7 linked regions of the Oryctolagus cuniculus genome follow. The protein of the gene in region 6 interacts with the protein of the main gene of each other region in a pairwise test. Links are inferred from orthologs where the notes say so. Each region holds a gene or a part of one and is shown on either strand. Other genes may lie near its edges. The genes, in order: KATNBL1, VPS52, MAD1L1, BICD2, BEND7, MFAP1 and CARD9.

What was found.
Region 1: the proteins of MFAP1 (region 6) and KATNBL1 interact in binary tests that used the Homo sapiens proteins (3 or more experiments, as listed by UniProt). The link is inferred for Oryctolagus cuniculus from reciprocal best matches to the Homo sapiens genes MFAP1 and KATNBL1.
Region 2: the proteins of MFAP1 (region 6) and VPS52 interact in binary tests that used the Homo sapiens proteins (3 or more experiments, as listed by UniProt). The two-hybrid records come from large-scale screens. The link is inferred for Oryctolagus cuniculus from reciprocal best matches to the Homo sapiens genes MFAP1 and VPS52.
Region 3: the proteins of MFAP1 (region 6) and MAD1L1 interact in binary tests that used the Homo sapiens proteins (3 or more experiments, as listed by UniProt). The two-hybrid records come from large-scale screens. The link is inferred for Oryctolagus cuniculus from reciprocal best matches to the Homo sapiens genes MFAP1 and MAD1L1.
Region 4: the proteins of MFAP1 (region 6) and BICD2 interact in binary tests that used the Homo sapiens proteins (3 or more experiments, as listed by UniProt). The link is inferred for Oryctolagus cuniculus from reciprocal best matches to the Homo sapiens genes MFAP1 and BICD2.
Region 5: the proteins of MFAP1 (region 6) and BEND7 interact in binary tests that used the Homo sapiens proteins (3 or more experiments, as listed by UniProt). The two-hybrid records come from large-scale screens. The link is inferred for Oryctolagus cuniculus from reciprocal best matches to the Homo sapiens genes MFAP1 and BEND7.
Region 7: the proteins of MFAP1 (region 6) and CARD9 interact in binary tests that used the Homo sapiens proteins (3 or more experiments, as listed by UniProt). The two-hybrid records come from large-scale screens. The link is inferred for Oryctolagus cuniculus from reciprocal best matches to the Homo sapiens genes MFAP1 and CARD9.

What each region holds. Positions count from the first base shown.
Region 1 is NC_091443.1:55,837,463-55,840,962, reverse strand, and holds part of KATNBL1 (KATNB1-like protein 1), read right to left. Parts: intron 2,751-3,500; coding exon 2,700-2,750; intron 2,616-2,699; coding exon 2,526-2,615; intron 2,198-2,525; coding exon 2,108-2,197; intron 1,988-2,107; exon of another isoform or gene 1,480-1,987; coding exon 1,128-1,479; 3' UTR 1-1,127.
Region 2 is NC_091436.1:135,863,866-135,866,941, forward strand, and holds the end of VPS52 (vacuolar protein sorting-associated protein 52 homolog), read left to right. Parts: intron 1-1,337; coding exon 1,338-1,449; intron 1,450-1,640; coding exon 1,641-1,759; intron 1,760-1,932; coding exon 1,933-2,079; 3' UTR 2,080-2,576; downstream 2,577-3,076. UniProt on the Homo sapiens protein: Acts as a component of the GARP complex that is involved in retrograde transport from early and late endosomes to the trans-Golgi network (TGN).
Region 3 is NC_091450.1:37,075,668-37,079,167, reverse strand, and holds part of MAD1L1 (mitotic spindle assembly checkpoint protein MAD1), read left to right. Parts: intron 1-844; coding exon 845-985; intron 986-2,037; coding exon 2,038-2,217; intron 2,218-3,500. UniProt on the Homo sapiens protein: Component of the spindle-assembly checkpoint that prevents the onset of anaphase until all chromosomes are properly aligned at the metaphase plate.
Region 4 is NC_091432.1:146,114,843-146,117,454, forward strand, and holds the end of BICD2 (protein bicaudal D homolog 2), read left to right. Parts: coding exon 1-110; intron 111-1,657; coding exon 1,658-1,967; 3' UTR 1,968-2,112; downstream 2,113-2,612. UniProt on the Homo sapiens protein: Acts as an adapter protein linking the dynein motor complex to various cargos and converts dynein from a non-processive to a highly processive motor in the presence of dynactin.
Region 5 is NC_091444.1:69,144,408-69,148,497, reverse strand, and holds the start of BEND7 (BEN domain-containing protein 7), read right to left. Parts: upstream 2,801-4,090; coding exon 2,740-2,800; intron 477-2,739; coding exon 393-476; intron 1-392. Other genes in the region: PRPF18 (pre-mRNA-splicing factor 18), read left to right, coding at 2,799-2,931.
Region 6 is NC_091443.1:66,698,324-66,701,823, forward strand, and holds part of MFAP1 (microfibrillar-associated protein 1), read right to left. Parts: intron 974-3,500; coding exon 754-973; intron 1-753. UniProt on the Homo sapiens protein: Involved in pre-mRNA splicing as a component of the spliceosome.
Region 7 is NC_091432.1:236,670,302-236,673,082, forward strand, and holds the end of CARD9 (caspase recruitment domain-containing protein 9), read left to right. Parts: intron 1-240; coding exon 241-432; intron 433-885; coding exon 886-927; intron 928-1,017; coding exon 1,018-1,063; exon of another isoform or gene 1,064-1,360; intron 1,361-1,678; coding exon 1,679-1,782; intron 1,783-1,892; coding exon 1,893-2,153; 3' UTR 2,154-2,281; downstream 2,282-2,781. Other genes in the region: DNLZ (DNL-type zinc finger protein), read left to right, coding at 2,448-2,672. UniProt on the Homo sapiens protein: Adapter protein that plays a key role in innate immune response against fungi by forming signaling complexes downstream of C-type lectin receptors.

The sequences.
Region 1 (3,500 bases), about 11 Mb from region 6:
ATAAAGACCAATGTCCAATTCATTCTGTGATTTAAAGGTTACTTTTTCAAAAAGCATATTAGTAGGGCTGGCATTGTGGCATGGTGGGTTAAATCATTGCCAGCATCCCACATGGTTGCTGGTTTGAGTACTGGCTGCTTTTCTTCCAATCCAGCTCCCTGTTAATGTGCCTGGGAAAACAGTGGAGGATGGCCCAATTCCTTGGGCCCCTGTAGCCATATGGGAGACCCTGAGGAAGCTCCTGGTTCCTGGCTTCAGCCTGGCCCAGTCACAGCCATTTGGGGAGTGAGCTAGCGGATGGAAGACCTTTCTCTCTTTCTCTCCCTCTTTGTCTTTCCCTGTGACTCTTTCAAGTAAATAGAATAAATCTTCAAAAAAAAAAAAAAAATATTAGCAAAAGCAAAGTAAAAATTAACATTCTAAACCCATCTGAATGTATTCCTCATCCCTTGTTTCCTTCTGATGTTGCTCTTATTTGGATTCTTAATTTTTCTTCAGATATTTTTCTATTAGAACTAGGTCATTAAATATCCTGTGGCATAGTATTTCTGTGGCTGTATATGAAACATTCAATGGATAACTCCTGTTCTTCCTGCCAAGGTCACACTCACATCCAGAGGACTTTAAGCACTTGCAAATATGAAACTGACTTGGGGCCAGCGTTGCGGCATAGCAGGTAAAGCTGCCACCAGCAGTACCGGCATCCCTTATGGGCACCAGTCCGAGACTTGGCTGCTCCACTTCAGATCCAGCTCTCTTATGGCCTTGGAAAACAGCAGAAGACGGCCCAGGTGCTTAGGCCCTGCACCCGCATAGGAGACCCAGAAGAAGCTCCTGGCTCCTGGCTTCAGATCGGCCCAGCTCTAGCCATTGTAGCCATTTGGGGTGTGAATCAGTGGATGGAAGACCTTGCTCTGACTCTGCCTCTCTGTAGCTCTGCCTTTCAGATAAATAAATAAATAAATAAGAGAAATAAATTGACTTAACACCTTGTTAGAACAGTACTCAATTATTTTGTCTAGAAACTGAAGAGCTCATTTACAAATGTATCCTATGTTATTTCTTGGTTTAATGCCTAATTTTTAAGTTTAAATGTAGATTGGGGCCAGCACTACCGTGTACCAGGTTCAAGTCCCAGCTTCTCCATTTCCGATCCAGCTCCCTGTTAATGCGCCTGGGAAAGCAGCAGAGGATGGCCCAAATCCTTGGATCCCTGCACCCACATGAGAGACCCAAATGAAGCTCCAGGCTCCTGGCTTTGGGCTGGCCCAACGCTGGCTATTGTGGCCATTTGGAGCATGAATCAGTGGATGGATGATCTTATTTCTCTCGCTCTCTGTAACTCTTCCTTTCAAATAAATATTAAAGAGAAAAACAGAGATTACCTTAGCTATATTACCAGTATATCCTGGAACCAAAGTAAGATGGTTTTCTTGTTCCCACAACCCACTTAATTGTTGTCTTAAAATCTGAATATTTCTAGGAGGAAAAAAAGAAAAACGAGAAAGCAAATATAGATGCATATGGCCTTTGTTAGTAAATTCACTTGATGAAAACAGTTTAAAATTTTCAAGTATTTATAAGAAAACTATAATGTAAGAAAATTATAAATGTTAAGGGGATTGTAGGGAGATTTTCTTTTTTTTATGGTTTCATGACAATCTGGCTCATTTGGTAGAATAACTGCATTTCCACACCAAAGCAGTCCTCAAATTATAATTATAAATATAGTTTCAGAACTGTAATCAACATCATACTCTCAGGATATGTCTAGGCAATCTAAGGACCCTGCAGGATGCTTCCAACCCTTATCCCATTACAGGTATTTTTTTCTCTCCTTTACTAATTAAACCCCTGTTAAATCATCATTGAACTTTTTCTTTCTTAAATGAAGGGTTGGGTTTTACGAGAAGAGATACAGGGGTTCCTGGGCTCTGGAACTCAACCTCTATGTTTTGATTTTCATGTATCACAACTCAGTATTTCTCTGAAAATGAAAAGAATAAATATATGCTGATGATACCAGTACAAAATTACCACCTAGTTTAATCAAGCGGCTTTTTTGAAAAAAGCTTCAGCACGACGGTACCTTTAAAGACATACTCACCCATCATTTCTGATTTCTGATTTGGATGACAGTTCTGACCACCACCTTTTTATGACTGCTTGAAGCCAGTTTAAACCAACTATTACATATCTGAAATGACAATGTTACAAAATGTTTTCATCTAAAAAGCCATTACAAAAGACACTTCCCTTCTCCAAAAACAGACATTGATCTTTCATCCCTTCTATAAACTTACTTCACTAGTTTCACGATCTATTTCATAAACTATATTTTATGTAACCCTTTTAAAACCCTTTTATGATTATGATTTAATCACTTAATGTTCTTCTAATTATACTATAAGCTCATGGAAAACAGAAACTACATGCCTCACATAGCCCAGTTTGCTAATATGAACTCATGAAAACAAAATTAAGGATGTTCAAAAAGAAAAACAATTGATTCATTTGGCACTTACTCTTCAAATCTGCTTTTAAGTAATGACTTTACTAGAGGCAACAAGTCCACGCAGCAGCCAAGTGAGATATAGTGTTTTTCCTCCTGTAAACTAAAATAAATACTATGTTAAAAATATGTGCATTAATAAGTCATAATTTGTTCTGTAATTTTTTTGGTAAAATATTGTTTTTACCTATTGGTGAGTACAGGTAGGCAATCTACTACAACTCCAAGATCTTCTATCCTGTGGGTACAAAAAGAAAATTCCTAATTTTTTTATTTCAAGATTTATTTTATTTATTTGAAAGTCAGAGTTACAGAGAGAGAGAGAAAGAGGAGAGGAGAACAGAGTCTTCCATCTGCTGGTTCACTCCCCAATTGGCCACAACAGTCAGAGCTGTGCCGATCCAAAGCCAGGCGCTTCCTCCGGGTCTTGCACACGGGTGCATGGGCCCAAATACTTGGGCCATTTTCTACTGCTATCCCAGGCCATCGCAGAGAGCTGGATCAGAAGTGGAGCAGCTGGGACTCAAGCTGGCACCCATATGGGATGCCGGCACCTCAGCAGCGGCTTTACCCCCTACACCACTGCGCCGGCCCCGAAAATTCCCTATTTATGTTAAAATCTTCATACTGCTTTCAAGAGATTCACCATTTAAAAAATTTTTTTATTTATTTGAAAGGCAAAGTTATAGAAGGAGAGAAAGAGAGATCTTCCATCCACTGGTTTACTCCCCAAATGGCCACAATGGCTGGGGCTAAGGTGGGCCAGGCTGAAGCCAGGTGCCAGGAGCTTCTCCCTTGTCTCCCAGATGGGTGTAGCGGCCCAAGCACTTGGGTCATCTTCTGCTGCTTTCCCAGGCACATTAGCAGAGAGCTGGATAGGAAGTGTAGGAGCCAGTGCTCACATGGGATGCTGGCATCACAGGCAGTGGCTCTACCCACTATGCCACAACATTGGCCCCAGAGATCCACAAATTTAACAATTTCAATG
Region 2 (3,076 bases), on a different chromosome or scaffold from region 6:
CATTAGCAGGGAGCTGGATCAGAAGTGGAGCAGCCAGGACACGAACCGGCACCCATATGGGATGCTGGCACCACAGCTCTGGCCCCCACATACCTTTTTTAAATCTGCAGGCTTTCTTTCCTTCTTTCCCCCACTACTCTGCAATTTGTCAGAGAAACTGAGTCATTGAGTCATTTGTCAGGTAGAATGATGGACAGTCTAGGTCTTGCTCGTTGCAATTGCATGGTGTGGCTAAACTGTTCCTGTCAAGAGTATTTCCCATAAATGTTTAGTAAGATGGAAAGACTTGATCAAGTTCCAACTAGATTTTTTTAACAAGGATTTTAAGAATAATTAATTTGAAAGGCAGAGAAAGAGAGTTCCCATCCACTGTACACTGCCCAAATACCCACCACAACCCCTGCTAGGCTGAGCTAAACCTGGGAGCCGGGAGCTCAGTCCAGGTCTCCCACGTGGGTGGAAGGGACCCAGCCACCTGAACCATCACTTTCTGCCTTCCAGGGTGCACATCAGCAGGAAGCTGGTATCAGGAGCCAGAACCAGGGGGGCTGGTGCTGTGACGTAGTGGGTAAAGTGCCTGCATCCCATATGGGTGCCAGTTTGAGTCCCGGCTGCTCCACTTCCAATCCAGCTCTCTGCTACAGCCTGGGAACGCAGTGGAAGATGGCCTAAGTGCTTGGACCCCTGCACCCACGTGGGAAACCTAGAAGAAGCTCCTGGCTTCAGATTGGCCCACTCTGGCCATTGCAGCCATTTGGATAGTGAGCTAGCAGATGGAAGATATCTCTCTCTGCCTCTGCCTGTCTGTAACTCTGCCTTTCAAATAAATAAATAAATCTTTAAAAGGAAAAAAAAAAAAAAAAAAAGAACCATGACTCAAACCCAGGCACTCTGATAATGAGATATTAGCATCCCAACCAGTGTTTTTTAATTGCTAGGCTAAATACCCACCCCTACATTGGTGTCTCTTTGAGGCTCTCAAAAGAGACTGAGCCTTGGTTTCCCCACCCAAGACGGTATCAGACCCAGTTTCTGGATATCAGAGTTGCCAAGTTATTTGCCTTGTGGTATCCCTGCTGCTCCCACCCCCTGGGCTCCAGCTCTGATCCCAATTCCCTGTTTTTGTGCTCCCAGCTCAAGTTAGTTTTTTGTTTTTAAAAAGGGAGATCCTTGGAGATTTCCGCTATCTGTTATGAAACCAGCGATGTCTTAAAGTGTATGACCTTCTCAGAGATGCGCTGTTCTGCTGTGGGCGTGTACTGAGCACCTACCTGGAAGTCTGCTGACTGGGACACTTGCCCGTGTGTGTGTGTGTGTGTGTGTGTGCTTCTCTCCAGGAATTTATTGAAGAGTTGCTGTCTCCCCCTTTTGGGGGTCTGGTGGCATTTGTGAAGGAGGCCGAAGCTTTGATCGAGCGTGGGCAGGCTGAGCGACTCCGAGGGGAAGAAGGTGTGGACGCAGTGTGGTAATGGGGTGAATGGAAAAGAAAAATGCCAGGACACAGGTTACTTGGGGAGGAAGTGAGGCAGGAAAGATGGGCTTGATAGGGCGGATGGCTGTGCCTTGGGGAGGGCTTAGTGGGCTCCGTGGTCACCTGACCTCGTCCCTGTCTATTACTCTCCTTTTCCTCCTGCTGCCAGCCCGGGTGACTCAGCTGATCCGCGGTTTTGGCAGCTCCTGGAAGTCATCAGTGGAGTCTCTGAGTCAGGACGTAATGCGGAGTTTCACCAACTTCAGAAATGGAACGAGTATCATCCAGGTGACCTGCGGCTCCCGTGTGTCCCCATGGCTGCTTACTGCCCTTTCCCCTGCGCTCGGCGTCAGCCCAGCCACCCTCGCTCTTCACCACCGGCGGTGCTGGACGATTCCTAGTCATCCTCCCTAGCGCCACCCCACTCCCCAGTCTGACCCCTCGGTGGCTTCTCTGACCAGGGGGCGTTGACCCAGCTGATCCAGCTCTACCATCGCTTCCACCGGGTGCTGTCCCAGCCCCAGCTCCGCGCCCTCCCTGCCCGGGCTGAGCTCATCAACATTCACCACCTCATGGTGGAGCTCAAGAAGCACAAGCCCAACTTCTGAGGCGCCGGGACCTCTCCAGGGACGCCGCACCCCAGCTCCTGCCCTTCTCCTCCTGGGCGTCCCCTTCCTGTTGGCCCCGGCCCCCCAGGCCTTTGACATGCCCCAGTCTGCCCTCGCTCCCGGGACCCTGCTCCGCAGGGTGAGCTGGAGCCCTTGGCCTGCTGAATCTCCCAGTGTCTTCAGGCTGCCCCAGACTCTCTCCTGGTTTTCCAAACGACCTTCCTCCTGTTCCCAATTTTGTCAGCCTCCTCCTCTGCCCCCACACACCCCAGGCTCTTCCCCAGTGAAAACCTTTGCTGCCTCGGTCTCTCACTCAGCTCTTGGCAAGGGGAGACTGCCTCCAAGTCATTTCTTTATTCCTTCACTCAAAGTGATGCATTTTCGGGAGCTTTCTGACCTGAGATCTCAGCAGTGTGAACACTAACCCATCCCCTCCTGGCTGGAGGATTAGGCCAAGGCCAGTCTGCAGAAAACAATAAATATTTAATACAACTTGATACTCTTCACCCATTTCCTTGCTCCTGCCTCCTGGGGCCTCCAAGCAGCCATCTCATCTCCAGAGTCCGTTCCTTCTCTGACCACTTCCTGGGCTCACAGCCTTTTGGGGGATATCTCTAAGGAAGGGGCAGGGATAGTAACATCTGACCTCTAGTGGCCTCAGGGAGGGGACTAGTTCGTGAGTAACCAAGCTACTGGTGGCTTCTGGTTAAAATGGCAGATGCGGGCAGGCACTGTGGCACAGCAGGTTAAGTGTCCATGTAAGATGCCCATATCCCAGGTGAGAGTTCTGACCTCGGTCTCAGCTGCTCTCTCCTTATTCCAGCCTCCTCTAATGCCTGGGAGGCAGCAGGTGGTGGCCCAGCAACTGGGTCCCTGCCACTCACCTGGGAGACCGATGTAGTTCCTGGCTCCTGGCTTTGGCCTGGACCAGCCCTGGCTGTTGAGAGTATTTGGGGAATGAACCAGAAGATAGAAGATCTGCCTTTCAAATAATTTT
Region 3 (3,500 bases), on a different chromosome or scaffold from region 6:
CCCCAGGGGCTGCTGTTGCAGCGGGATTCAGTTCCCAGGTCCGTTATCCTTAAGGCAGGGAGGTTGCCGGGGGAGCCCGACCTAACCGTACGAGCCCTTTGAAAAGACTGGTGCCGAGGCCGGCGCTGTGGCGCAGCCGGTGAAGCTCCCCACGCAGTGCCGACATCCCACGTGGGCGCCGGTTCCAGTCCCGGCTGCTCCACTTCCCATCCAGCTCTCTGCTGTGGCTCTGTGCTTGGGCCCTGCACCCACAGGGGAGACCCGGAAGCAGCTCCTGGCTTCGGATTGGCTCAGTCCCACCTATTGAGTCCATCTGGGGAGTGAACCAGCGGATGGAGACCCCTCTCTCTCTCTCTCTCTCTCTCTCTCTCTCTCTCTCTCTGCCTCTGCTTCTCTTAGCTCTGCCTTTCAAATAAATAAAATCTTTAAAAAAGAAAAAAACTGCAAGTGAGAGGCTGCAGTGACGTCTCTGCTACCCACGTGGTGGCCCCGTGGAGCTCCAGGCTCCCGCTTCAGCCTGGCCTGGCCCCCGCTGTTGCCGGTGTTTGGGGAGTAAACCAGAAGCCAGTATCCTGTCTGTCTGTCTGTCTGTCTGTCTCTGTGTTGCTCTGCCTTCAAGAAGAAAGTACAGGGAGGTGTCCAAGGCGGAAGCCAGACTTGACTTGGAGGGGCCACGTGGCAGGGCCTGAGGGAGCTTCCCATTGCTCCTGGCAGCCCAGGCCAGCGGGGAGGTGGGACGCCGGGCGAGCGCAGGCTGGGCGAGCGCAGGGTCTGTGCGGACGGCTGGGGCGCTGGCACGTTTGACACGCGTACCGAGCTGCCCTGTGCTTTGTTGGCCCTGCAGTTGGAGGAAAGAGCAGAGCAGATCCGTTCCAAGTCCTACCTCATCCAGGTGGAGCGGGAGAAGATGCAGATGGAGCTGAGCCACAAGAGGGCCCGGGTGGAGCTGGAGAGGGCGGCCAGCACCAGCGCCAGGAACTGCGAGGTGGGTGCCGGGCTGCGTGCCTGCCGGGGCAGGGCCTGCCCCGACCCTGGGAGCAGCCAGGTGGGGGCAGGGCCTGCCCCGACCCTGGGGACAGCCAGGTAGGGGCAGGGCCTGCCCCGTGCCTGAGGACAGCTGGGTGTGGGCAGGGCCTGCCCCGTCCCTGCCCGTCCCTCCCCGTCCCTCCCCATCCCTGGGAGCAGCCAGGTGGGTGCAGGGCCTGCCCCGTGCCTGCCCCGTCCCTTCCCGTCCCTGAGAGCAGCCAGGTGTGGGCAGGGCCTGCCCCATCCCTGCCCGTCCCTCCCCGTCCCTGAGAGCAGCCAGGTGGGGGCAGGGCCTGCCCCGTCCCTCCCTGTCCCTGAGAACCGAGCCAGCCCTCTGGAAACCCGCGGTGCTCGGTGTTGGGGTTGCCAGGGTGTTTCATCTGAGGCCATCTGATGGCGTGAGTCCGGCGTCACCTGTGCCCGATGTCCCGGGGGAGGGTGGCCTGAAGCAGAGGACAGTCCCCGTCGTGAGGCGCTGACGCGGGCAGATGTTCCCTAGCCAGGCCTCCTGCGTCCCTCCTCCCTGTGCAGGTGTGGAGCAGAGCCGGCAGAAGTGCCTGGTAGCACGCAGGTGGCAGGCTTAGAAAGTCACCAGTGTGTGAGGGTTTTGGGGTCCAGGCTGGGTCTCGCTGGGGTGGCTGTCGGGGGACACCGGCTCACTCGATGCCGGCCGAGCCTGGGTAGAACCTGCCGGCGCCGCAGTAGCTCTTTCCTCTCCAAGCCCAGTTTGGAATTCCGCGTTTCCCTTGCTCCAGCTCCTCCCTGAGCAGTGGCCCCTGCACGTGCACGGCGAGGTGGGCATGGTGGCCTGTGCCCAGTGTCCTCCTGGGCCCTGGTCCCCACGGCAGCAGGGCCCGTGCCGCCTCGTCCTGGTTCCTCCTGACGTGGCCGGCGGCTCTTGCCCTGCTCTTCTCTGGGCTGGGTGGGCTGTCCCGAAAGGGGGGCGTGGAGGAGTCCTCCCAGCGCCCCCTCGGGCTGTCCCCAACGCTGGCCTGTTCTCCCTCTCCACAGCGCGAGGTTGACCGCAATCAGGAGCTGCTGACGCGCATTCGGCAGCTGCAGGAGCGGGAGGCCGCGGCCGAGGGGAAGGTGCAGGAGCAGCGGGAGCGGCACCGGCTGTGCCAGCAGAGCCTGGACGCCACCAGCCAGAGGCTGCGGGAGAAGGAGGACGGCCTGGCCGCGGCCGGCGAGGTGGGTGCAGCCTGTGGGCCCAGACCAGTCTGGCCGCGGTCGGCGAGGTGGGTGTAGTACACAGGCCCGGACCAGCCTGGCCGCGGCCGGCGAGGTGGGTGCAGCCCGTGGGCCCGGACCAGTCTGGCCGCGGCCGGCGAGGTGGGTGTAGTACACAGGCCCGGACCAGTCTGGCCGCGGCCGGCGAGGTAGGTGCAGCCCGCGGGCCCGGACCAGCCCGGCCGTGGCCGGCGAGGTGGGTGCAGTACACAGGCCCGGACCAGCCTGGCCACGGCCGGTGAGGTGGGTGCAGCCCGTGGGCCTGGGACCAGCCTGCTGGCGGCAGTGAGCTTGGCGTGCTCCTAGCCCCTGCACCACGCTGGGTGGCTTTGCTTTCTTTTTTCTTTTCTTTTTTTTTTTTTTTTTTAAGATTTTTATTTATTTATTTGAGAGGTAGAATTACAGACAGTGAGAGAGAGAGACAGAGAGAAAGGTCCCCCCTCTGGTGGTTCACTCCCCAGTTGGCCAGAGCTGTGCTGATCTGAAGCCAGGAGCCAGGTGCTTCCGTGTGAGCGCAGGAGCCCAAGCACTTGGGCCATCTTCCGCTGCTTTCCCAGGCCACAGCAGAGGGCTGGATGGGAAGTGGAGCAGCCGGGACTAGAACCGGCGCCCAGATGGGATGCCGGCACTGCAGGCGGAGGAGTAACCCACTGCGCCACAGCGCCGGCCCCGGCTTCGCTTTCAGCGACGCTTCTCGCACGGTGCTTCCCTACGTAAGCGTAGTAAACGTGCTGATTCTCTGTTCTGTGGTTGTCAGTCGGTTGAGCACTTCTTAGGTTTTGGTGACCATGAACTTCAGTGTTGACCGTTCGTTCCTTGTCGTTTCCCGGTGTCTTGGGCTTTGGATTCACCGCGCTGGCATCAGCGCGGCAGAGCTGCGTGTCTGCGGCCTCTGCGCCTGCCGAGTTACCTTGTGTGGGCAGAGTCGCAGGAGGGGTCCCAGGGTCCCGGCCGGCGCGTCAGGGCTCGCCGCAGCCTGGCCTGCCGTGGAGGGTGGCGTTTCTGGAAATGCCGCTTCTTGTGGTGGTGGGAGGGGGAGGTGGGGTCTCGGGATTTGCGTTTCTCTGATCCTCAGCGAGGCCTGCAAGCCTCTGAGGGCCCCTGAGGTGGCCTTGAAGCCGGTGTCCGGGCGCTGTGGCCCCGGGGAGGCGTGTGTGCCCGAGAGCTGGGAGCTGGACGGCCCGCGCCTTGCCCGTCCCTGTTGCGTGGCGCTCAGCATCACGGCGCTGTGTGGAGCCACGGAG
Region 4 (2,612 bases), on a different chromosome or scaffold from region 6:
AACGAGAAGGCCATGGTAACCGAGACCATGATGAAGCTGCGCAACGAGCTCAAGGCCCTCAAGGAGGACGCGGCCACCTTCTCCTCCCTGCGAGCCATGTTCGCCACCAGGTAACTGCGCTGAAGCCCCCCCACCCCCACCTTCTCTGAGGCCTGCGGGTCAGTGCCTGTGTCCAGCGCCACTGCGAGTGACACGTGTTTGGGAAGTGTGGCCCCAGCCCAGCCCTGGCATACACAGTGGAGCTGGAGTTGGTGATGAGGGAGGGTGAGAAGGTGCCCGAGTGCGGAGTGTACTTGGTAGGCGCCGTGTGTGGCCAGCGGCAGCAGAGGGTGTGTGGTTCTCCTCCGTTCCTGCTGCTGCCCGCCTGGCCCCAGGAACCTGGTTCTGTGGGGCTGTTTTCATTTTAGTGTTACCAAGCCCTAGCAAGCCCAGTTGGTCCTGTTTTGTAAGGAGATCAAGGGAGCAGGCCCCAGAGAGGGTGGGGAAGTGCTTGACCGTCCTGGGGTCCTAACGGCCAACAGTTACCAGGCTGACTTGAGGTGACAGACCAGCCCTGAACTCACCTGGCTGGGGCTGCGGGTTCACCGGTTGCCCTCCTAGCTGGAGTGGGATCCCACCTTTGCGCAGCTCCAGGCTTCTGCATCCCCATGACCCTTGGCGTTCAGTTCCTCTTCCCTGAAGGGACTCTTAGTGAGGGTCTCTTGGGTGAGCCAGGGGCTGCCCTGCACGTGCATACCCGACACAGGCTGAGGAAGGTCAAACCCAACACTGAGAAGCAAGGCCCTGCCTTTCACTCTCTAAGGTGGGTGGCACCACCTGCTGGCCGTTATGGGGACTGCCAGGACAGGCAGAAGAAAGGAGTGCCAGGGTTTTTCTAGGAGCGTTGCTTTTCCTGGGGATAGGAAAGTGCTTGAGAGAGATTCCCCAGGTCCCCCACATCTAGAAGATAAACTATAGCTTTGTAAACTTGTTGTGTTTAAAGTCCTGACTTTTCAGATGGAGCCAGGATTCAGACCCTGGAGGCTATGTCCCCAAGGGGATGCCGATTGGCCCCTGTCTGGTGGGGCCCCTGTGTCTCAGTGTCTCTGCCAGGCCCCAGCCAGCCCCTCAGTGGGTTGGTGGGCAGGTGGGCAGAAGCCCAGGGACAGTGTGAAGTGGGTGTCTCTCTCTTCCCCTGCTCTCACCGGGGTGGAGCAGATGAGTCACAGTTAGGCGGAGGCCCAGGCGCCGGGACAGACTGCCTGTGGCATCCACACACACCTGTGCTTTGCTCCGGTTGTCATCAGCACAGATCGATTGAGCACTGGCCATGTGCCTGCAGCAGGCACAAGCCCAGGCCTGCTTTGAGTTCATGCCCACCTCGAAGCTCGTGCTGTCTCAGCATGCCGACCGACCCTGAAGTAGGGGCCACTGCCCCAGAGGAAGCTGCGTCCTGGGGGGCACAGCCTCTTTCTGAGAACCACTTCCTGCCCAGTGAGCTCAGCAAGCCCTGCACCAAATGAGTCCGCTCACTTTACAGGGCCGCGCGGGCCGGTCAGAGGCTCTGTCTGAGCAGCGCCTTGCTGAGTGAAGCCACAGCGAGGCCCCCAGCCCTCTGGGGAGGCTGCCGTGCTGTGCCATGCCGTGCCCTGGCCTCACCGCGCTCTGGTCCCCACAGGTGTGACGAGTACATCACACAGCTGGATGAGATGCAGCGGCAGCTGGCGGCCGCTGAGGATGAGAAGAAGACGCTCAACTCGCTGCTGCGCATGGCCATCCAGCAGAAGCTGGCGCTCACCCAGCGGCTGGAGCTGCTCGAGCTGGACCACGAGCAGGCCCGGCGGGGCCGCGCCAAGGCCGCCCCCAAGGCCAAGCCGGCCACCCCGAGTGTAAGTCACGCCTGCGCCTGCGCCAGCGACAGGGCCGAGGGCACTGCGCTCACCAGCCAGGTGTTCTGCAGCGAGAAGCAGAGCATTTACTGTGATTAGGCTGCGGGCTCCACACACGGCAGCTAACTCGTTCCTGCTTCACTCACTTAACCCAGCACGGCGGGGCCGCGGGGCGAGGCTGATCCTAACGTGACTAACGCACGGGGCCAGGATTCGGGCTGAGCGGCGGGCGGCACCGGTCGGCGGGACTCTCGTGAGCTTCATGTCGCCTCTCATTTCTTACAGCCCTCAGGAGCTCCCTAGGGGCCGAGGTGGGGAAAAGGAGCACATGCCGTCGGGGAAGACAGACACGCAGAAGTGTCTTCCAGGGCCCTGGGTGCTGGGAGAGCCCAAGGGAAGGGGTCCTGGCCCCACCCCTGGGCTCCCGTGGAGGGGCAGGGTCTGAATGGAAACCTGCATGTTCCTCGCATGTCTCACGTCAGAAAGCAGTTTTAGGAGGTTCTGGCCTGCTGAAGGGCCTCAGACCATAGCCTGTACCGGGCCTGGTTTTATGGAGAGAAGGATGTAGATGGTGCAGCATCTCACTGCACATCAGTCAGTGTAAAGGCACAGGATGGCTTTCCCCAAAACCCAGAGAACAGACCTGAGCTACCCTCCGCAGATGGCCCCCACAGCACAGACACAGCCAGTGAGAGCAGGAGGGCAGAGCTCCGCGGCCTTGGCTCCCCATTTGAGACCTGCACA
Region 5 (4,090 bases), on a different chromosome or scaffold from region 6:
AAATTGAATTTCTGTTATCCAGATGTCAAAGATGTAATACCCCAATTACACAAACTATTGCCAGTGAAGCATGCCAGCGAATATGCAATGTAAATGGGGTGAGCACAGAGCGACAAAACTGCACAGTCAGCATCTGGCTCTGTGAGTGAGTGATAATTAGCACTGTGTGTAGACACTAATAAACATTTATGTCTGAAATTACAACTTTTAGCAATGTTAATAAGGGATCTATTGGCAATCTGTAAAATAAAAGGTCTTGGAAAGAATGTCATACATTAAGCAATGGCAGACATTTCCCGTTCTTGCACAATCTTTTTTTTTTTCCTTCTTCTTTTCCTAATTGCAAATGGCCACACCGTTTTGCTGAGAAATTAATTGACATAGGAACCTACCTAAAAAAATGGGTTGCGTCTCTTTGGCCTCCCCGTTAACATCGCTGCTGAATTCTGAGACTTTATAAACCTCATGGTGATAATCTGGTATGAGAAAATGAGGAAAAATTAGAATTCTAATGACCTCAAGGTAAGATCAAGCACTAAAGACTAGAATTTCATTCTATACAGTATGTGTAACCTATACACATTTTTGAGAATTCAGTTATTCATAGAATTTGTAGTTAATAGTAACCCCTAAAACTTTGCCTATACTCTGATGCATACAGTCTTGAAGTATCAGTCTGACTTTAGAAAACAGCTTTGCTTCATCACTTTTTTTTTTTTCATGGTGAATTTTGCCCACAGATATCAATTATTAGGTTTCATTTCTTTGAGATAGGAAGTACGTTTACAGGGAAAAGAAAAATCATGCCAAATGATGGGCTGGGGTGAGACTCCAAATTTATCTCCACGTAACCCGCTCTCGTGAACCTGACAGCGGTATGCCTCGGAGTGACCTAGCACTCACAGGTTACCCAGAAAGTCTCAGCCTTTAAGCAGCATACAGACAAGCACACGTGAAACACTGATTTGTTATTTTAAATTCAGTGTAATTTGGATGAGAAAGCAAGATTTTCATCTTTCACTCAAGTGAATTTTGTTATTCAGCCACTGCACTTTATTTAATAGGCAATGGTTTATTTTCTAAAAATGCACCTGCAGAGGACAGAGAAGAATCAAACTCATATAAAAAAAAAAAAAAAAGAAAGGAAGAAAAAGAAAAGGAGAAGGAAAAACTTGCTGTGTTAGCCAAAGTTTACAAAACACTGTTTTAAAAGCTTCTCTACGGAGGCTTCTTCGCTTTGGCAACCTTCTCATTTCTCAAGGAGGACGCCTGGATATGAAAATAGAGGCTCCTGGTTAACAGCTCTTCCGTTTTTCTGGCCTTGGATCTCACAGGACAACGTGGACAAAACTACTCTCACTTGTAAGATAAAGTAGTAAGTTCCCTGAGGTCATCCATAAAAGCAGCCTGCATTCCTGAATGAATCAGATAGCACCAACAGCGCAGTTACACAGGGAGAGTTTTAAAGTACAAATAACTGAGTAATCAACACTGCTGTGGACCAAAAAAAAAATTACAAAGGAAAGAGGGGGAGGGCCAAATATTTTCAATTCGTAAACTATTTCAGGCCTCTTTCATTAAACAGTATCCAAACTAAATTAGGGGAAACAGCTATGGGTAGATCCTCAAAATGTCTATAATTAAACTGTTTTTCCAGACTAATCAAAAGTGGGCTTTACTGAATCCACATCACAGCAGCTTTGTCTGAAAAACTCAATTACTTGCAATTGCCTTCTAATTTTCAGCGGTTTACATGTGACTTCTGCAGGTTGCTGGAACAATCGTGTTGCTCTGGCCTCTGATGCCAATGCTAGATACAACAGAGGAAAAGTGGACTGGCTCTGTGGTTTGGCTTTGACCTCAAGTTGATTCAAAGATATTTAAACAGGGTGGGTCTAAACTCGGTAAATATCAGGACCCATGGCATTACAAGGAAAAAAAGGCACCTGCCTAGAATTTAAGGTGCCACAATAGCTTCTGACAGGCATATTGTCACGACTGCTCTTATCTTTGGTTCTGATCAATTTTTTAAAAGTCCAGCCAGGAAGATACAGACTCTAACAAGTAACTGAACGGTGCACAAGGCTGTATCCAAGCTCCCCCTCCCTCGATGGAAATAAACGCCCCAAGAGTGTACTGTACACCTGTTAAATGGTCGGGAACTAGCTGGTTTTGTTTTGCTGTTGTTTTCAATGATACTTGGCTGACTGCTGTGTGATCTTGTCTGAAACACCTTTCCACGCCAAACCAGCTAGCTAGGAAAGATACTGGGTGGCAATGATTCTGCTTCGGGCTTGGACCTCCACCGAGCTTACAAGAACAACGGTCATCTTTCCCCGTTCCCTTTGGGCGAAAATGCAAAAACAAAAACAACAAACCATGGGTCCGACCGTCCACTCTCGGCCTGATGGGCCAGGCAACCCTCCACTACCCCGGCCCAGCGCCGAGGACACCCCAAAAGAGGGCTCGGGCCCCCAGGAGTCATTGTTTGCTAATTTCCTGACGTGCCCTCCGACTTGTTTACGTTCAATAACATCCTGCCTCCCCCGGCACAACTTTCCCCGGCGCCCGGCGTGTGCGGGTGTGCGGCCGCGGGCCCGGGGCCGCCCGGCTCGGGAGGGAACCGGGGCTCCGGGAGGGGCGCGCCCCCCGGCGTGGACCCCCCGCGGGCGGCCGGGGGCGCGGGGCCGAGCGCGCGGCGCCCGGTCCTTCCTCCCGCCGCCCTGGCCGACCGCTTACCTCGGCTCACCAGTTTGAAGCTCTGGGATTTCCTGCTTCTTTTCCTCTCAGAGAACTCCATGGTGCGGGGAAGGCGGCGGCGGCGGCGGCGGCGGCGACTGCGGCCGGCGGAGGCTGAGGCGGCGGATCGGCGGCGGCGGCGGCGGCGGCGGCGCGGGCTCGTGTCACCGCCGCGGAGCCGCCGGGACCAAGGTCCGCGTCTCGAATCGGAGGGGGGGTGGGGTGGGAGGGGGAGGCCGAGGGACGGCAGGAACCACCGCGAGCCCGCTCAGGGGCTGCAGGCGCGGGGCCGGCGGCGTGGGCTCCGGGGAGAAGTTGCCCCCGCGCGGCGCCGCCTCCCGGTGCCCTAGGCGCCCCCCCGACCCTCTCTCATGCCGGCTCGCTGTTTCCAAGCCGCCGCTCGCCGCAGCGCAACTTTCCGTGGGGAGCGGGCCGGGCGGCGGCGGCGGCGGGGAGGGCGCGGCGGCGGCGGCGGCGGCGGCGAGGGCTCGGAGCTGCCGGCGCCCTGGGCGCTCGTCGCGGCCCGCCTGGGCTCAGCTTGCGGACGCGGCGGCGGCGGCGGCGGCCCCGGGGACGCGGGCGGGCCGAGGGGAGGGAGGCGGCGGCGGCGGCGGCGGGTGCGGAGCCGGCCGGGGCGCTGACCGCCCCCGCGGGAGGAGGGGCACCGGCGGAGGGGGCGGTGCCGCCGGGACCCCGGGGCCACCTGCTGGCGGAGCCCGGCCGCCGCCATCCCTGGGGGCCGCCGCCGCTGCCGCCGCCGCCACCGGCCTGGCCGCGCGGCGCCCCGAGGAGGCGCGGAGGCCGCGGCGCAGCGCCCTGGCCCGGGCCCGGCCGGCCTGCCCCCGGGGACGCCGGGGCTGCTGCCGGGGCCTCAGCTCTCAGAACCCCCTTTCCGGTCACCCTTGGCTGCTCCCTGGGAGTGAGCCTCTTGTTATAAATAATCCTAGGGGTCGTGGACCCTCCTTGGCCAGCCCAGATCCGAAACATCAGTGCGTGGGCAAGATTCACTGATTTTACGCAAGTTTTTTTTTTTTTTTTTTTTGGGGGGGGGGTCGGACTAACCCATCATTGCTCTACGAGAAAACTTAAAGAGGATTTAGAATTTATTGGTGAGAAGAGTATAAAAAAGAGTGAGCTTCAATTCTTTATCCCGATCTGAGAGACTGACGGAGGAGCCCGAGTTATACTCCAGGAAAGCACTTGGAATGTGGGTTTTGGAGAGTGTGGGAGAGGATGAGGGATGCTCCATGGCTCTGAAGGCTCAGGGAAACCAGGGTCAACGCAGGTGCAGGGGCCGCTGCCACTTGACGTGTTCATGCTAGAATAAAGGACAAAACCAGAAAGCTGTTAT
Region 6 (3,500 bases):
TGATTGGAAGACCTCTCAGTGTGTGTGTGTGTGTCTATCTCTCTCTGTAACTCTGTCTTTAAAAAAAAAAAAAAAAAAAAGAGACTACCTTCATTAAACCAACACATCATCTCTGTGTCATATTTTCTTAACAATTAGCACCTCTGGGCCAGAAGTAGCCTACATTAAAAAAAAAAAAAAAGATTTATTATTTATTTATTTATTTGAAGGAATTACAAAGAGAGAGAAAGAAGAGAAGGAAATCTTCCATATGCTGGTTCACTCCCCAAATGGCTGCAATGGTCAGGGCTGGGCCAGGCCAAAGCCAGGAACCAGAAGCTTCTTCTAGGCTTTCCATTTGGGCACAGAGGCCCAAGCACCTGTACCATCTTCCACTGCTTTCCCAGGTATATTAGCAGGGAGCTGGATCTGAAGTGGAGCAACCAGGACTTAAACCTGCACCCATATGGGATGCCAGTGCTGCAGACAATGGCTTAACCCATTATATCACAACACTGGCCCCTAACCTGCTGTTTTCTAAAGCTGCCACTTGTGCAATTTTGGTCATATTACTTTTCTAGCACATTTGTGTCATTTACAAAATGGGACAAGTAATATCTATCTCATAATGTTACCATGTGGATTACAAGAATTAGTAAATATTATCTACTTGGAACAGTGTAAACGACAGTAAGTACTATTCAAGTCCTGGCTATTACTACTGTCGCTGTTGTTAATTAACCTGGTTCAGGGAGACACAGCCCTAGTCATTACCTCTCTTCCACATCTTCACTAATACGGTTCTGTAAACGCCGCAGCCGGGGATCACTTGATGAATCCTCTTCCTGTTCCTCAGGCTCTGCTTCTTGTTCTTTGGCTTTCTTAATGAACTGAAATTCTTCATCCTCTTCATCAGAGGACTCCATAGGGGCGTAGTCAGGCCTCTTCCCGGACACATAACGTTTTACCTTCACTTTCTCCATCGAAATCTCACCTGTGAGATAGAGAATTAATAATGTTTCCCCATGTCTTTGAACTCTTGGTCTTGGCACACAAAACACGGTATTTTCAGTGGACAACAGTTTAAGCAGAAAAAGCAGGTTGCCACCTATCCACCTATTCAGGCCAAGATACAGGAAGGAATTCTTGTGAATACTAACACTAACAGAAATGAGACCAATCCTGGGTACAGTAAAGAGCAGGAAAGGAGGTGGTAAAACATTAGAAAAACACACCCCTTAAAAGGCAGACAGCATCCATCACTATTTCAAAGCTATTCCACACGTTCAAGCTATTCCACTTGAACTAGACCATTAAATGAATTATTTGTAACAGAGCCCAGCACACAATAAGGGTGATTTAAGAGGGAATGTAAAACTAAAAGCTGTTCAGACATTCTTTTAGTTCTCTCTGGAATGTCCAAGGCAGTCTTTTTTTTTTTTTTTTTTTTTGACAGCAGAGTTAGTGAGAGAGAAAGGTCTTCCTTCTGTTGGTTCACTCCCCAAATGGCCGCTGCGCTGATCTGAAGCCAGGAGCCAGGAGCTTCTTCCTGGTCTCCCATGCGGGTGCAGGGCCCAAGCACTTGGGCCATCCTCCACTGCCTTCCTGGGCCACAGCAGAGAGCTGGACTGGAAGAGGAGCAACCGGGACAGAACCCGATGCCCCAGCCAGAGGATTAGCCAAGTGAGCCGCGGCGCTAGCTCAAGGCAGTCTTTATAACACAGTACCACATAACTCAACACCCAAATCTTATCTCTTTGTATTTTCTTTTCCTTTAACTTATGTGCTATCAATCCTACAAGAGTAGGCAATCTCTTGTACAAATACCAACAATTTCAGTGAATAATATGAAAGAAAAGTAACCAATTTAATTTCTTTCTTTAGGAGGAAAACTCTACAATTTTATTGGAAGAGGTAGATAGCCAAGACAATTCTGAATATAGATAGAGTGGGATAGGGTTTGTATCAGACAGCAAGACTTAAAGTTACAGTAATTAAAACAATGTCTGACTCCAAGAGTAGAGAGAGACTAACAGTATAGAGAGCAGAGAAATGTATAGAAGAACCTGAACATATTACTGAAGTGACAGTAAAAATCAGTAGAGGGGTGGGGTGCTCATATCCCGTACTGCAGTGGCTTTGAGTCCTGGCTCTGCTACTGATACCGGCTTTCTGCTAATGTGCATCCTGGGAGGCTGCAGTGATGACTCAGAGAGCTGAGCCCCTGTCTCCATGAGAGAGACCTAACCTGAGTTTCAGATTCCTGGTTTTGGCCCTGATAGCCCCAATGGTTGCAGGCATTTTGGGGAGTGAACCAGCACATGGAAAATTTCTGTCTCTTGCTATCTCTGTGCCTTTCAAATGAACAATAAACATTTTTAAACATTTAATCATATTAAAAAAAACAATCAGTGGAGAGGGGTAGACATTTGGCCTAGTGGTTAAGAGATGTCAGTTAAGACACTTGTCTTTCTTCTCCGAGAGCCCATTTATGACTTCAGCTTCCTGCTAATGCAACAGTGATGGTTCAAGTGGCTGAGTTTCTGCCCCTGTGAGGCAGACCCGGATTGAGTTTCCAGCATTTGGACAGTGAACAAACATATGGGAGCACTCCCTCTTTGATGTGTGCTTGTTCTCCCTCCCTCCCTGTCCCCCTCTTATATATCTGTATCCCAAATAAAAAGCATAAAAAAGGGTGGATAATAGTAAAAAATGGTGTGACAACTGGTCATCCATACAACAAATATTAAAAATAGTAAAGAAAAAATAGACTTCTATCATACAAGCGAAACATCCCAAGTGGATTAAAGATCTGGATATGAAAAACATATCTTAAAATTTACATTCCTGGGGCTGGTACTGTGGCATAGTAGTTTAAGCATCTGCCTGCAGCACTGGCATCCCATATGGGTGCGGGTTCTAATACCGGCTGCTCCACTTCTGATCCAACTCTCTGCTGTGGCCTGGGAAAGCAGAAGATGGCTCAAGTCCTTGGGTCACTGCTTCCACATGGGCAAACTGGAAGAAGCTCCTGGCTCCAGATTGGCCCAGCTCTGGTCGTTGCAGCCATTTGGGAAGTGAACCAACAGATAAAGACCTTTCTCCACACTTGATATTAGCCAAAAGGCCAAGAAACGATATAAGACATTTCACACACACAAAGAAAAAAAGGAGCCGGTGCCATGGCTTAGCAGGTAAAGCCACTACCTGTAGGGCCGGCATCCCATATGAGCACCAGTTCGAATCCTGGCTGTTCCACTTCTAATCAAGCTCTCTGCTATGGCCTGGAAAAACATAAGATTGGACCCCTGCACCTACGTGGGAGACCTGGAAGAAGCCCCTGGCTCCTGGCTTCAGACTGGCACAGCTTTGGCCACTGCTGCCATCTGAGGAGTGAACCAAGGAATGGAAGACTTCTCTCTCTCTGCTTCTGCCTCTCTGTAACTCTGCCTTTCAAATAAAATAAATCTTTAAATAAATCTTTGTCTCCTTCTATAACTCTGCTTATCAAATAAATTTTA
Region 7 (2,781 bases), on a different chromosome or scaffold from region 6:
CGGGTCTCCCCCACAGCGGGCAGGGCCCAGTACCCCCAGGTGCGTTAGCGGGAAGCTGGATCAGGAGCAGAGGCGGGGCCTGGTCCCAGGCGCTCCGACCCGGGCAGCGGCCTCACGCAGGGCGCCGCAGTTCCCCAGACGCAGACCCAAGTCCACGGGCAACAGCGCGGGCCCGGCCCACGTGGCCGGCTCGTCGCAGAGCCGTGTCGGAGGCTCAGGGCCCACGCGTGTGTCCCGCAGGCCATCGCCACGCGGGGGCAGCTGCACTCCCAGCACGCGTGCAGCCTGCAGGAGAAGGACGCCCTGCGCAAGCAGCTGCGGGAGCTGCGGGAGAGAGCGGACGAGCTGCAGGTGCAGCTGCTGCAGTGCCAGAGCCGCCTGCTGGCCGCCGAGGGCAGGCTCCAGGGGCAGCAGCCGGACACGCTCGCCCTGGTGGGCCCCGGGACACGGGGGGGGGGGGAGGTGGGCCCCAGGACACGGGGGGGGGTGGGCCTCAGGGACCCCAGGACACGGGGCAGGGAGGGGAGGGGAGGTGTGGTGGGCCCCCAGGACACGGGGCGGGGGGAGGTGCTGGCCGCTGAGGGCAGGCTCCAGGGGCAGGAGCCGGACACGCTCGCCCTGGTGGGCCCCCAGGACACGGGGGGGGGGGGAGGGGAGGTGTGGTGGGCCCCCAGGACTCGGGAGGGGAGGTGATGGCTGCCGAGGGCAGGCTCCAGGGGCAGGAGCCGGACACGCTCGTCCTGGTGGGCCCGGGGACCCCAGGACACGGTGGGGGGGGAGGTGTGGTGGGACCCCAGGCGGGGGGGGAGGGCCCATTCTGGCTGGGGGCTGCAGGAGGCGCAGCCTCCCCTCGCCTGCTGACCGGCCCCTGTCCTGTGGCTGCAGAGCTGGGACCTGGAAGACGGCTCGCCCAGGGACTCGGGGGAGGTGAGCAGGGCCCCTCCCCACACCAACCAGGAAAGGGGGCCGGGCCGGGTCTGGGGAGGGGCAGCGGTGACCTCGCCCTCTCATCGGAAGCTGCAGCTCCCCGGGGACCCGGAGGACGCCCGGCCGTGCGACAAAGGTGAGGAGGGCGCCGTGCCCGGCCCACACCTGGTCCCTGCCCGCACGGGAGAGAGGCTGGGCACAGGGACTGTGACCTGGACAGCCGCTGCGCGGGGCCGGGCTGGGGCCCCCACCCTAACCCAGGGAGGACACGGCAGGCCTGTGGCCCCCAGCCTGCCCTCAGCCAGGAGGCGGTGACAGGAGCCCGTGGGCGGGGCCTGGGCGTTGATTGGGCAGAGCGGGATCCGTCAGCAGCCTGGAGGCGGGGCTGGGCGGCAGGAGGACTGGCCCGCGTGCGTGCGTGCGTGCGGTTCAGGTGGGCGGTGGGCCCAGTGCGCGGTAGGGGGGTCCCTGGGGGAGCCAGACCGACTTCCTCAGCGTCAAACGCGACCCAGCCTCTGGGCAGGAGCAAAAGCGGAAGCTGCAAATGGAGAAGTGTGGGTGGGCGGGCACTGGCCTCGAGGCCACGGAGCCCCGCGTGGCCGAGGCGGGCGGGACCCAGGTCCAGCTCAGCTCTGCCCAGCGGTGGCAGGTGCGAGCCGTCCGCGGCCCTGCAGGCGCGCACACGTGTGTGTGCCCAGGACACGGCCGAGGCCTGGCCACCGGCGCCGAGTGGGCTCTGGGCCGCCCCCAGGGGCCGTGGCGTCCACAGCTCTGCCGGACCCACGACACGGGACTCCGCTCGCAGGTGGCCTGGGGGTGACCGAGCCGCACAAGGAGATTTCACCGAGCCCCCACGTAAGGCCAGGGGCGGTCCCCCACCCCGGGAGCCCCCAGCCCAGAGCCCCCTGGACGGCTGGGGAGGGGCGCGGGAGCCTCGGCCGGCGCTGAGCCCGCCCCTTCCCCAGGACGCGGGCCTGGGCAGCGAGCCCCCGGAGAAGGAGCGGCGGCGGCTCAAGGAGAGCTTCGAGAACTACCGCAGGTGCGCGCAGGGCTGGGGCGGCGCTGAGCGCGCGCCTGCCCACCGCGGCCCGCCCACCTGCGGCCCTGCCCACCCGCGTCTCCGCAGGAAGCGCGCGCTCAGGAAGACGCAGGACAGCTGGCGGCACGGGGAGGTGGACCGGGACAACACGACGGGCAGCGACAACACGGACACCGAGGGCTCCTAGCGGCCCCGGGACACACCCCCGCGGGGACCCCCCTGGAGCCCGGGGCTCCCGCCGTGGGGGCGGGGGGTCAGCCGTTGTACCCTCCGCCCGAGCACAGCAGGCGGGCAATAAAAAGGCACCTAGAACGACCCGCGTCCGCGTCCTCGCGCGCGTGTCCCGCGCCGAGCCCGGCGTGCGGGGCCCGGGAGGCCGGCGCAGCGCCGCGAGCCGCCGCGAGGGGGCAGCAGAGCGCGGCACCGGAAGTCGGCGCCGCCACTTCCGCCCGCCCCAAGATGGCGGCGGCGTGACCGCGGCATGCTGAGGGCGGCGCTGGGGCGCGCTGCGGGGCTGCTGGGTCGCCCGCGGCCCCAGGGACCCGGCCCGAGGCGGCTGTGGGGCCGCGGGGCCCGCCCGGCGGTTGCGGGGAGTCGGCGGGCCGGGGGCTGGGCCTGGGGCTGGCGGCACTCGAGCTCGGAGCCGGGGCCCCAGGCGGCGGGGCGCGTGCAAGCGGCGCACTACCAGCTCGTCTACACCTGCAAGGTGGACTTCCGGGAGGGGCGGGGCCGCGCGCGCGGTGGGTGGGGCTGCCCTGGGGGCGGAGCCTCCCTGAAGGACACGGCTCGCAGTGGGTGGGGCTGCACTCGGGGGC